2 linked regions of the Saccharomyces cerevisiae S288C genome follow. The gene in region 2 interacts genetically with the main gene of each other region. Each region holds a gene or a part of one and is shown on either strand. Other genes may lie near its edges.

Evidence for each region. A genetic interaction does not mean that the proteins touch.
Region 1: mutations in NMD2 (region 2) and ENB1 together harm fitness more than expected from each alone (negative genetic interaction), as found in Saccharomyces cerevisiae (2 studies listed by BioGRID).

The regions. Positions count from the first base shown.
Region 1 is NC_001147.6:18,991-23,154, forward strand, and holds ENB1 (Enb1p), read right to left. Parts: upstream 2,322-4,164; coding exon 501-2,321; downstream 1-500. Other genes in the region: oligo-1,6-glucosidase IMA2, read right to left, coding at 3,535-4,164.
Region 2 is NC_001140.6:251,852-257,688, reverse strand, and holds NMD2 (Nmd2p), read left to right. Parts: upstream 1-1,932; coding exon 1,933-1,938; intron 1,939-2,051; coding exon 2,052-5,315; downstream 5,316-5,837. Other genes in the region: YHR078W (uncharacterized protein), read right to left, coding at 1-1,329; type 2C protein phosphatase PTC7, read right to left, coding at 5,464-5,837. UniProt on the Saccharomyces cerevisiae protein: Involved in nonsense-mediated decay of mRNAs containing premature stop codons. It interacts, via its C-terminus, with NAM7/UPF1.

The DNA.
Region 1 (4,164 bases), on a different chromosome or scaffold from region 2:
TCATTCTTTCGAACTTTGAATATTTTTTATGACGTCAATTATAAGAAGTATGAAAGTCAGGTTAGCAACAGCTAAAACTAAATAATAAAGGGCTCAAGCAGGCTTACGGCAGGTGGTGATTATATTTACACTACTAATTTTTTTTAATTCGTTTACGCTCTAGTAAAAGTTCTTCGCAACATTTTTTTTTATATTTCTTTATAAAAACTACGGGAAATGACAGGTGCGAATAATCTCATTGATTTTTGTATTGTCAAGCCCATTTAAGACTATAATATTGCTGAAATAAACGTAACAAACGTATGGATATTCACTTAGTTAGAAAAGAAAAATAAAATAAAACTAATTCGAACTTTTTGTTGTTTTTTATTTCAGACAACAATATTATACTGTTACACGCCATTATTGATTACTACTTACATTAACAGTGATTATTTCAAAGAGAATTCTAGTTCAGGAAAGAGCTTAACACTATATTTGTATCGCTAGTACTCTCCAGCTCAATATCCAATTACACGACGGAGCCATGATTGTTGTTTGATTTTGAGCTTCTCTTTCTCTCGTTCTTCTGCGGAAAGACTTTGCTTCTTGTTTACAGTAAAGCCACGCAAGAAAAAACAGAGAACAGCATTGAAAGCCGCAAACGAAATGGACACAATTATCAATAAGCGTTGAATCTTCGAATAGGATTCTATCATCTGAACACGAACCTCTGATCCAATAGGGTATTTTTTTAGATAATTGAGTGGTGATTTGTAGATTGCCATCCCTAAACTAGAGCCGAGTCGCTGTATCAACTCCTTTGCCAGACGCTGAGTCCATATAGCACCAGCGATGGAAGCACCTACTGCGTCTCCGATTTGATAAACGGACATTAGTAACCCAGTGACAGTTGCCATCTCATTGTGGGTGGTTGAAGCGTGCACTAGCGTCCACATAGGAAAACGTATCATACCACCAGCTATACCGACCACAATCTCAGCGCCAATAAGACCCGAAATCCCGTCATATACCACCCTGTATTTGTACAAAAGACCCATTCCGATGACACCAAGAAGCGACCCAGCGACTACAAAGACTTTCGGATGAGGATAGAAATGCAGCATAATGCCGACAACAATATTAGTGCATGACTGTAGAAAATTGTAAAGCTGAGCTATCCGCTGCGCACTTAATGTTGATTCTCCGAATGCTACCATTAACACGGTGACCAAATACTCTAACTCAATCTGCAAACCTAGACGCCATACAAATTCCATTAGCAATGCAACGTAGATGGTTGGATCACCTAGATATACTCGTGGGATAAATGGATTCTTAGCAAATTTTAATTCCCAAATTAGAAAGATAAAACCTAAGCAGCCACCAACCACAATCATTGCAATAATGTGACCCTCTCTCCATTTGGAGGTGGCTCCACCAGCTATTGTGAGAGGTAATAATACTAAAACTAAGAAAGCAGTGAAAAGAATGACTCCAATTAAGTTTATGTCATCCGCAAATTTCCAGAGCGTTTGACGCAGGGTCTGTCCTTTTTCTTTCAATTTTAATGGTGGTAACTTACCGCTGCGCCAGGAAATGTACTGAGCATACACATAGGGAAGGACCAATATTAGGGTGGAGATGGGCACAATGATGCAAAAAATTCCATAGCCCCAACGCCATTTATATGGTGCAACATTACCAGCAACTGAGCTAACAATATTTCCACTTACCCATGTGTTTATAATCACGGGAATCAGAAATATGTTCATCGCAAATGTACGATCTCTCAATCCAGACAGATCACCAGTCAGTGCTGTAGCAAGAAGACGAAATCCAGAATAACCGAACTGTTGTATAACAATACCTGCAAAAAGTCCGGAAAACGTTGGAGTAGCAGCAGAAATAATTTCTCCAATAGTATAGAGCACAAGCGCAAAAATCCAGCATTCTATACGTCCAAACCGATCAGATATACGTGCGTATGGCACTGCGACAACAGAGGCTACTATTGATTTGACGGTATTGATCGATCCTACTTGAGAATGCTTTCCAAAACTGTTAGCGGCATAGGTTTGTATTGATTGCGAAATCTGCCCTCCGAGTCCAGTACAGTAACCCTGCAAAAACAGAGCCACCAGTAGGGCGGTCTTGAGTGAACTAAACGTAACTCCAAAAGCTGTGAAAGAGCTGTAGTCAGACAAGACCTTGTTGACAGCGTCTATACGGCGCAAGCCAGACGTGGTAGACTTCTCAACATTGCTATCTGTCTTTTCGCTGTAGCAGACAGTGCTTTTATCGTCTAAATTGTCATTCCTAGAGTGATCAGTTTCCAGCATTTTCAGAGAGACATTCACGAGCACTTTTTTGCTATATTAGAGTTCTGCTAGGACCCAAACCATCATTTCAATTAAATAAGTCATCTCTATTATCCAAACATAGACCCTTCGCCACTCAAAAGCCACAGAGGGGTGCAATTGTAAGCCGTGGCAGCCTCTATAATAGTATACATTTGTATCACATTTGGGTGCAATAATTTAAACAGATTTTTGCAGTTGACTCAGGACTAAGGGCAATTCTTGCCCAAACTACGGAACCCTGTTTCTGATCCGAAGGGCTTATAATCCATAGAAACCCTTACATTTGCTCACTGAAAACCCTGTGTCCTTATTTGGTATATATGATGCGAGGATTAAACGAAAACGGAAAATTTTAGGTTTGAGGGTCCCATTAGTTCAACTAAAAAAGAAAAACGAAAAAAAAAAAAAACAAAGTCAAACCATAAAAAGTTTTGAACTACAGAAAATGTAGGCTTGTCTATTCTCCTGAATTTGACTTTTTTTTTTTCTAACTTTTTCACACCCCTTCATTAACTAATTAAAACTGTCGTAGAATTTCCCTTCATTTTTATTCAGCCATCCTCAGTTAGGAACGATTGATACAGCCTTCATTCGTCATTTCGTGACTTGCATGTTGGATTGGAAAATTTGCTGGCGGAGCAAAGTCAAGACGTTCAGAGGGAATAGTAAATGAGATTGTACGAACCGGTGAATATATTTTGCTGGCTAGATTTTAAATGGCCATTGTGTTATTGCTCTATCAACATAAAAGAAAGTATATGTGTTTTCAGAATCGTAAAATTTGTGACAAACTAAAAATCAGTATCTTCATAAAAGTAGTAGAGACATTTCATAGGTACGTTCCGCCCTTAGATAAATGTGGCTGCAGTTCATAATGCAGTGTGTAGTAGAGATGATTCTGTTGATCATAAACAATAATATATAATTTCACTAGTACTTGTTCTTATATGCACATAACTCGCCGTATTATCTGGCCAAATGAGCTATAGAGTAACCCTTCTCTCAGCATTATTATAATACAATACCAATGCAAGGACATATGGAAAATGCTACACAAAACTATACTTTAGTGTATTACATAACTCATACCGCACTACCAGATATATGTCGTTACTATTTAAAGTGCGGTATGTAACATAGATAAAAATAAGTATATGTATATGTATAAAAATCTTGTCGTCACAATCATCAATCATTCAGATATGTAAATTCTGCCCTCCCATGGCTTCAATGTTCTGGAAGACGCATCAACTTCGCTTCTTGGGTAGTTTCCGAATTCCAACTTAAACGACGAGCTATTGTTTGGAATCGTGAAGTCAATCGAATCAGAGCTGAAGTTCAAAGCAGCAAACAATGTTTTGTTGTCGTATTTCTTTGTGAAGCTGAACAGTTTCTTATTGTCCAAATCAATAAACTCAAAATCATATCCATATACAGTAATATCCTTGTGTGCCTTTCTAAATCTCAAGGCCTCCTTCCAGAAGTTCAAAACCGAGTTGGGATCCTTGGATTCGTCTTCAGCGTTAATTCCTTCCCTGAAAGACTCGTTCAAGTAAAACCATGGTTTAGCATTAGGACCAGAAAAACCAGCATTTGGCTCCTCACGAGACCATTGCATAGGTGTTCTAGCATGGTCTCTGGAAATAAGGGCAATTGCTTCCAAAAACCTCTTCATCTCCTTCGAGTTTTCTCCATGCTCTTCCTTGATCGCATCATAGTTATTTCTAACTTCGACATCCTCGTATTTTTCGATAGGCCAGTTCTTGAAATTGATTTCACCCAGTTCCTGTCCTTGGTACACATATAGAGTACCGCTCAGTGA
Region 2 (5,837 bases):
ATTAGCAGTGTCATCATTCTGCATGGCGAAAAGTGCAAGAATCTGGAACTTTATGGGCAAAAGGGTCACAACGTAGGAGATGGTGGTATTGACAGCAGAAAGACAGCAAAGAAAGAGAGAAATTGACAAAAATAACGATATCTGTTTTGTTAACGAATCGAGATCGTGCTGGTAATTGAACCTGAAAAACGAAAAATCCAAAATATTTGCTATCGTAATGGCTAAAGGATCGGATGCTGCATTTTCACTAAAATTTTCATAATCGTAGTCATCTGGATATTTGAGCGAGTGGTATATGATATAGGGGATTCTTTTCAGGAAAGTTATTATTAGTTTATGAAGACAGTATATGATAAACCCGACTTCAAAAGCTTTCTTAAAAGTGCGTACCTGAGGGGACTGTTGTAATAATGCTTCCAATTTCCCAAGCTCCAGTTGATACCAGGCGATTTTTTCCATCAACTCTGCTTTAAAAGTTGAGTTTTCTCCGACCTCTTCTTCTAAACTTCTTAATATTTGTACATTTTGTTCAATGTTGTGTTCATAATCTTGGATTTTTTCCTCTATATAGGCGTCTGTTGTCCATAAGAGAGATTTACTGTTATTGTTGCTGTTGTTGATGTTTCTAAAACTGGGGTCTGACATTGGTGTATTACGAAACTTGTGCCAGATGACTAAAAAGTTGTAGTATAAACTAGAAACAGTGGCTAACCCAGATAGGGAAGCCATGACTGTGACGCCTCCGATGGACAATCTAGTTAGAATATTTTTTGTGTACTGGAACGGTCCAATATTTATGTAACTTAACAGCGCAATAAGTGTGGACAAGATTATGCATGTCACTATTATCAACCTATCGATATCGAACTTGTCATTGTAGAATTTATTCAGTAACGATATTATAATGAAAAAGGGCTGAAATAAAATTAGTATGAAGGATAGCATGATTGCAGTCAGAGGCCACACCCAAGTCGTTATGAAAGTAACTTCCTTGTCCATTCCAGCAACCTTAATCTGCCATAGAATAATCTCTATGGTTACTGTATACGTCATCATTGCTAATGAAAAAAGGACTCGCAGTGATTGCAGTACCTTATGTGAGGGTAAAGAATACTCTGTGTAGAATTTATTTATGAAATTACCCATACTAGACACATCCTCATTCGAGCCAACTTCCATTTTGCTTGCCAACGGAATGACATTTTTCTTCGAGGAAGTTGATATAATGTCAAACAAAGACCCTACTTTAAACCAGAGCCTTTCATAGGAGCATTTGTAAGCAAATGCTCCGGATACGGAAAGCACTATAAATACGATAAGTGCCTCCATCCCGTCCACCACTTAGTCTACACTCAATAGTCCTTTCTAGTGCAGGTCCTGGAGGCAACCGCCAGAGTTGAGATCTTTTCCTTTTCTTTCCCTGCTGGTCAATTTTTATTGTTCAGGACTCGGTCATCGCAGATATCGCAATTTTTCACTCGTTTGAGTCTAGACTGTAAAATAAAACCGAATGGTTAAGCTAAAATAGACTCTGTATGACTAAGTCGTTCACTAAAGTTCATTATTTCATGCCTGAATGACCTTTATCTTAATTATGCACCATCATATAGCGTTTCTATGATCACTACGGGATATTATGATATTGTTAGGGGGTTATATTGAATATTTCTTAGGGCATGAGGATGATATTAGGGTTATTAATAGGTTTACAATTATATAATTTATGTGATAATTATCACTTGATACGAATTGATGGAGCCTGCTTCTTTTTTTTTTTTTCACTTTCTTGGCAGTCACTGAAAAACTGCATTCGAATACAGGTTTGAGAAACTAATGAGGCCCATATTACTTTACAATGAACAGTAACAATCAACTTAAATGCTTAAATAATCTAATATTGTATCTGCATTGATAATACATTGGACAGAAATTATGGACGTATGTTTGATTTATCTTACTGTGGCCAGATCGGCCTTTCAGTACTTCTAAGGTTTTATACTAACTTCTTTTATTGATCGTTGTAAACTACGGTAACAATTATGTATCAACAGGATGGACGGAAAAAAGAATTGCATGATTTGAACACCCGAGCTTGGAATGGCGAAGAAGTCTTTCCCCTGAAAAGTAAAAAACTGGATTCCAGTATAAAGAGAAACACTGGCTTTATAAAAAAACTAAAGAAGGGTTTTGTGAAAGGTTCAGAATCTTCATTATTGAAAGATTTAAGTGAGGCGTCCTTGGAAAAGTACCTATCAGAGATAATAGTGACGGTAACAGAATGTCTGCTAAATGTTTTGAATAAAAATGATGACGTAATTGCCGCTGTTGAGATCATAAGTGGACTTCATCAAAGGTTCAATGGCCGATTTACTAGTCCGCTTTTAGGAGCTTTTTTACAAGCTTTTGAGAACCCCTCTGTTGACATTGAATCCGAAAGAGATGAGCTTCAAAGGATAACCAGAGTTAAAGGTAATCTTCGGGTATTTACCGAGCTTTATTTAGTTGGAGTTTTTAGAACATTGGATGATATTGAGTCGAAAGATGCTATTCCAAACTTCCTACAGAAGAAAACTGGGCGAAAGGATCCGTTGTTATTCAGTATTCTCAGAGAGATTCTTAATTATAAGTTCAAATTGGGCTTTACTACCACTATTGCGACCGCATTTATTAAGAAATTTGCACCTTTGTTTCGCGACGATGATAATTCTTGGGATGATTTAATATATGACTCGAAGTTAAAAGGTGCGTTACAGTCTCTGTTTAAGAATTTTATAGACGCCACTTTTGCGAGGGCCACAGAACTGCATAAGAAGGTCAATAAACTGCAAAGAGAACATCAGAAATGCCAAATAAGAACGGGAAAATTGAGAGATGAGTACGTAGAGGAGTACGACAAGTTACTTCCAATATTCATTAGGTTCAAGACATCTGCAATTACTTTGGGAGAATTTTTTAAGTTAGAAATTCCGGAGCTTGAAGGTGCCTCTAATGATGATCTGAAAGAAACAGCTTCTCCAATGATCACGAATCAGATATTGCCACCCAACCAACGATTATGGGAAAATGAAGATACAAGGAAATTTTATGAAATCTTACCAGATATCTCAAAAACAGTAGAAGAATCACAATCTTCTAAAACAGAAAAAGATTCAAACGTTAACTCAAAAAATATCAATCTATTCTTTACGGATTTGGAAATGGCAGATTGTAAAGATATAATCGATGACCTTTCAAATAGATATTGGTCATCATATTTGGACAACAAAGCCACAAGAAATCGAATATTGAAATTTTTCATGGAAACACAAGATTGGAGCAAACTGCCAGTGTATTCCAGATTTATTGCAACAAATAGCAAATATATGCCGGAAATTGTTTCTGAGTTTATTAACTACCTAGACAATGGCTTCAGGAGTCAATTACATTCTAATAAGATTAACGTTAAAAACATCATCTTCTTCAGTGAAATGATTAAATTTCAATTAATACCATCGTTTATGATTTTTCATAAGATTAGAACATTAATCATGTATATGCAAGTTCCAAATAACGTAGAAATTTTGACGGTTTTGTTGGAGCACTCAGGGAAATTTCTGCTAAATAAGCCAGAATATAAGGAATTAATGGAAAAAATGGTCCAACTAATCAAGGATAAAAAAAATGATAGGCAATTGAACATGAACATGAAAAGCGCCTTAGAAAACATAATTACTTTACTTTATCCCCCTTCTGTAAAATCATTAAATGTTACGGTAAAAACAATAACGCCTGAACAACAGTTTTATCGCATATTAATTAGAAGTGAACTAAGTAGCCTAGACTTCAAACACATTGTCAAGTTGGTTCGGAAAGCTCACTGGGACGATGTAGCTATTCAGAAAGTGCTGTTTTCTCTGTTTTCAAAACCACATAAGATTAGCTATCAAAATATTCCCTTATTAACAAAAGTTCTAGGCGGTCTATACAGTTACCGCCGCGATTTCGTCATCAGATGTATAGACCAAGTACTGGAAAACATTGAGCGAGGCTTAGAAATTAACGATTATGGACAAAACATGCATAGAATATCAAATGTCAGATACTTAACTGAAATATTCAACTTTGAAATGATAAAATCCGATGTTTTGTTAGATACTATCTACCACATTATTCGGTTTGGTCATATCAACAATCAACCCAATCCATTTTATTTAAACTACTCAGATCCACCGGATAATTATTTCAGGATTCAACTAGTCACTACAATTCTGTTAAATATCAACAGGACCCCTGCAGCTTTTACTAAGAAATGCAAACTTTTGCTGAGGTTTTTCGAGTATTATACTTTTATTAAAGAACAACCTTTACCCAAGGAAACAGAATTCAGAGTTTCAAGCACATTTAAAAAATATGAGAATATTTTCGGAAACACTAAATTTGAAAGGTCAGAAAATTTGGTAGAAAGTGCCTCAAGGTTGGAAAGTTTACTGAAATCATTAAACGCAATAAAAAGTAAAGACGACAGAGTGAAGGGATCTTCTGCAAGCATTCACAACGGTAAGGAGAGTGCTGTTCCTATCGAGTCAATCACCGAAGATGATGAGGATGAAGATGATGAAAACGACGATGGTGTCGATTTACTAGGAGAAGATGAAGACGCGGAGATAAGTACACCGAACACAGAGTCAGCGCCAGGAAAACATCAGGCAAAGCAAGACGAAAGTGAAGATGAAGACGATGAGGACGATGACGAGGATGATGACGATGACGATGACGATGATGATGATGATGGAGAAGAAGGCGATGAGGATGATGATGAAGATGATGATGATGAGGATGATGATGATGAAGAAGAAGAAGACAGCGACTCTGATTTGGAGTATGGTGGTGATCTTGACGCAGACAGAGATATTGAAATGAAACGAATGTATGAAGAGTACGAGAGAAAACTAAAGGATGAGGAAGAAAGGAAAGCGGAAGAAGAATTGGAAAGGCAATTTCAGAAAATGATGCAAGAATCCATAGACGCAAGGAAAAGCGAAAAGGTTGTTGCCAGTAAAATTCCAGTAATTTCGAAGCCAGTCAGCGTTCAAAAACCTTTATTATTAAAAAAGAGTGAAGAACCTTCTTCAAGCAAGGAGACCTACGAAGAGTTATCCAAGCCAAAGAAGATTGCATTTACGTTCTTGACTAAAAGCGGTAAGAAGACACAATCAAGAATTTTACAATTACCAACGGATGTGAAATTTGTCTCTGATGTCCTTGAAGAAGAAGAGAAACTAAAAACCGAGCGAAACAAGATTAAAAAGATTGTTTTAAAACGTTCTTTCGACTGAGATTCTTTTGCGAATATAGTTCTTTAAATTTTTACTATATATGCCCACTTATGTTTGGCTCTATTAAATGGCTACGTGTTTATATAGTACCGTTTATGACGCTGTATTTTTATTTACACTGCTTTCCAGGAGATTAAAGAGCGGAGTGTTAGTCAACTCTCACGACAACAACAGTTATATCGTCTTCTTTACCACCGCTGTAGTTTTTGCCAGTTAGCTTAGAAATCTCTTGCGCAAAAACACTGGGGTAATTGGGGTCCTTGCTTAAACTGACAACATTGTCCACAAACTTCTGGGATAATAGCTGTAACTCATCGTTTGTTCTCGCAGCGTTATCCTTCAGAAAAAGCTCAATATCATCTGTGGCAATATTATCGGTTACACCATCGGTAGCCAATATAATAATATCCTTTTTTTTCAATTGGAAGCTATATTCATCAGCGTCTCTGGGGGTGTTTAAAATATACTTGCTACCCCTTCTTTCGGCCTCTTTCAACATTTCTTCTGGAATGATTGACAATT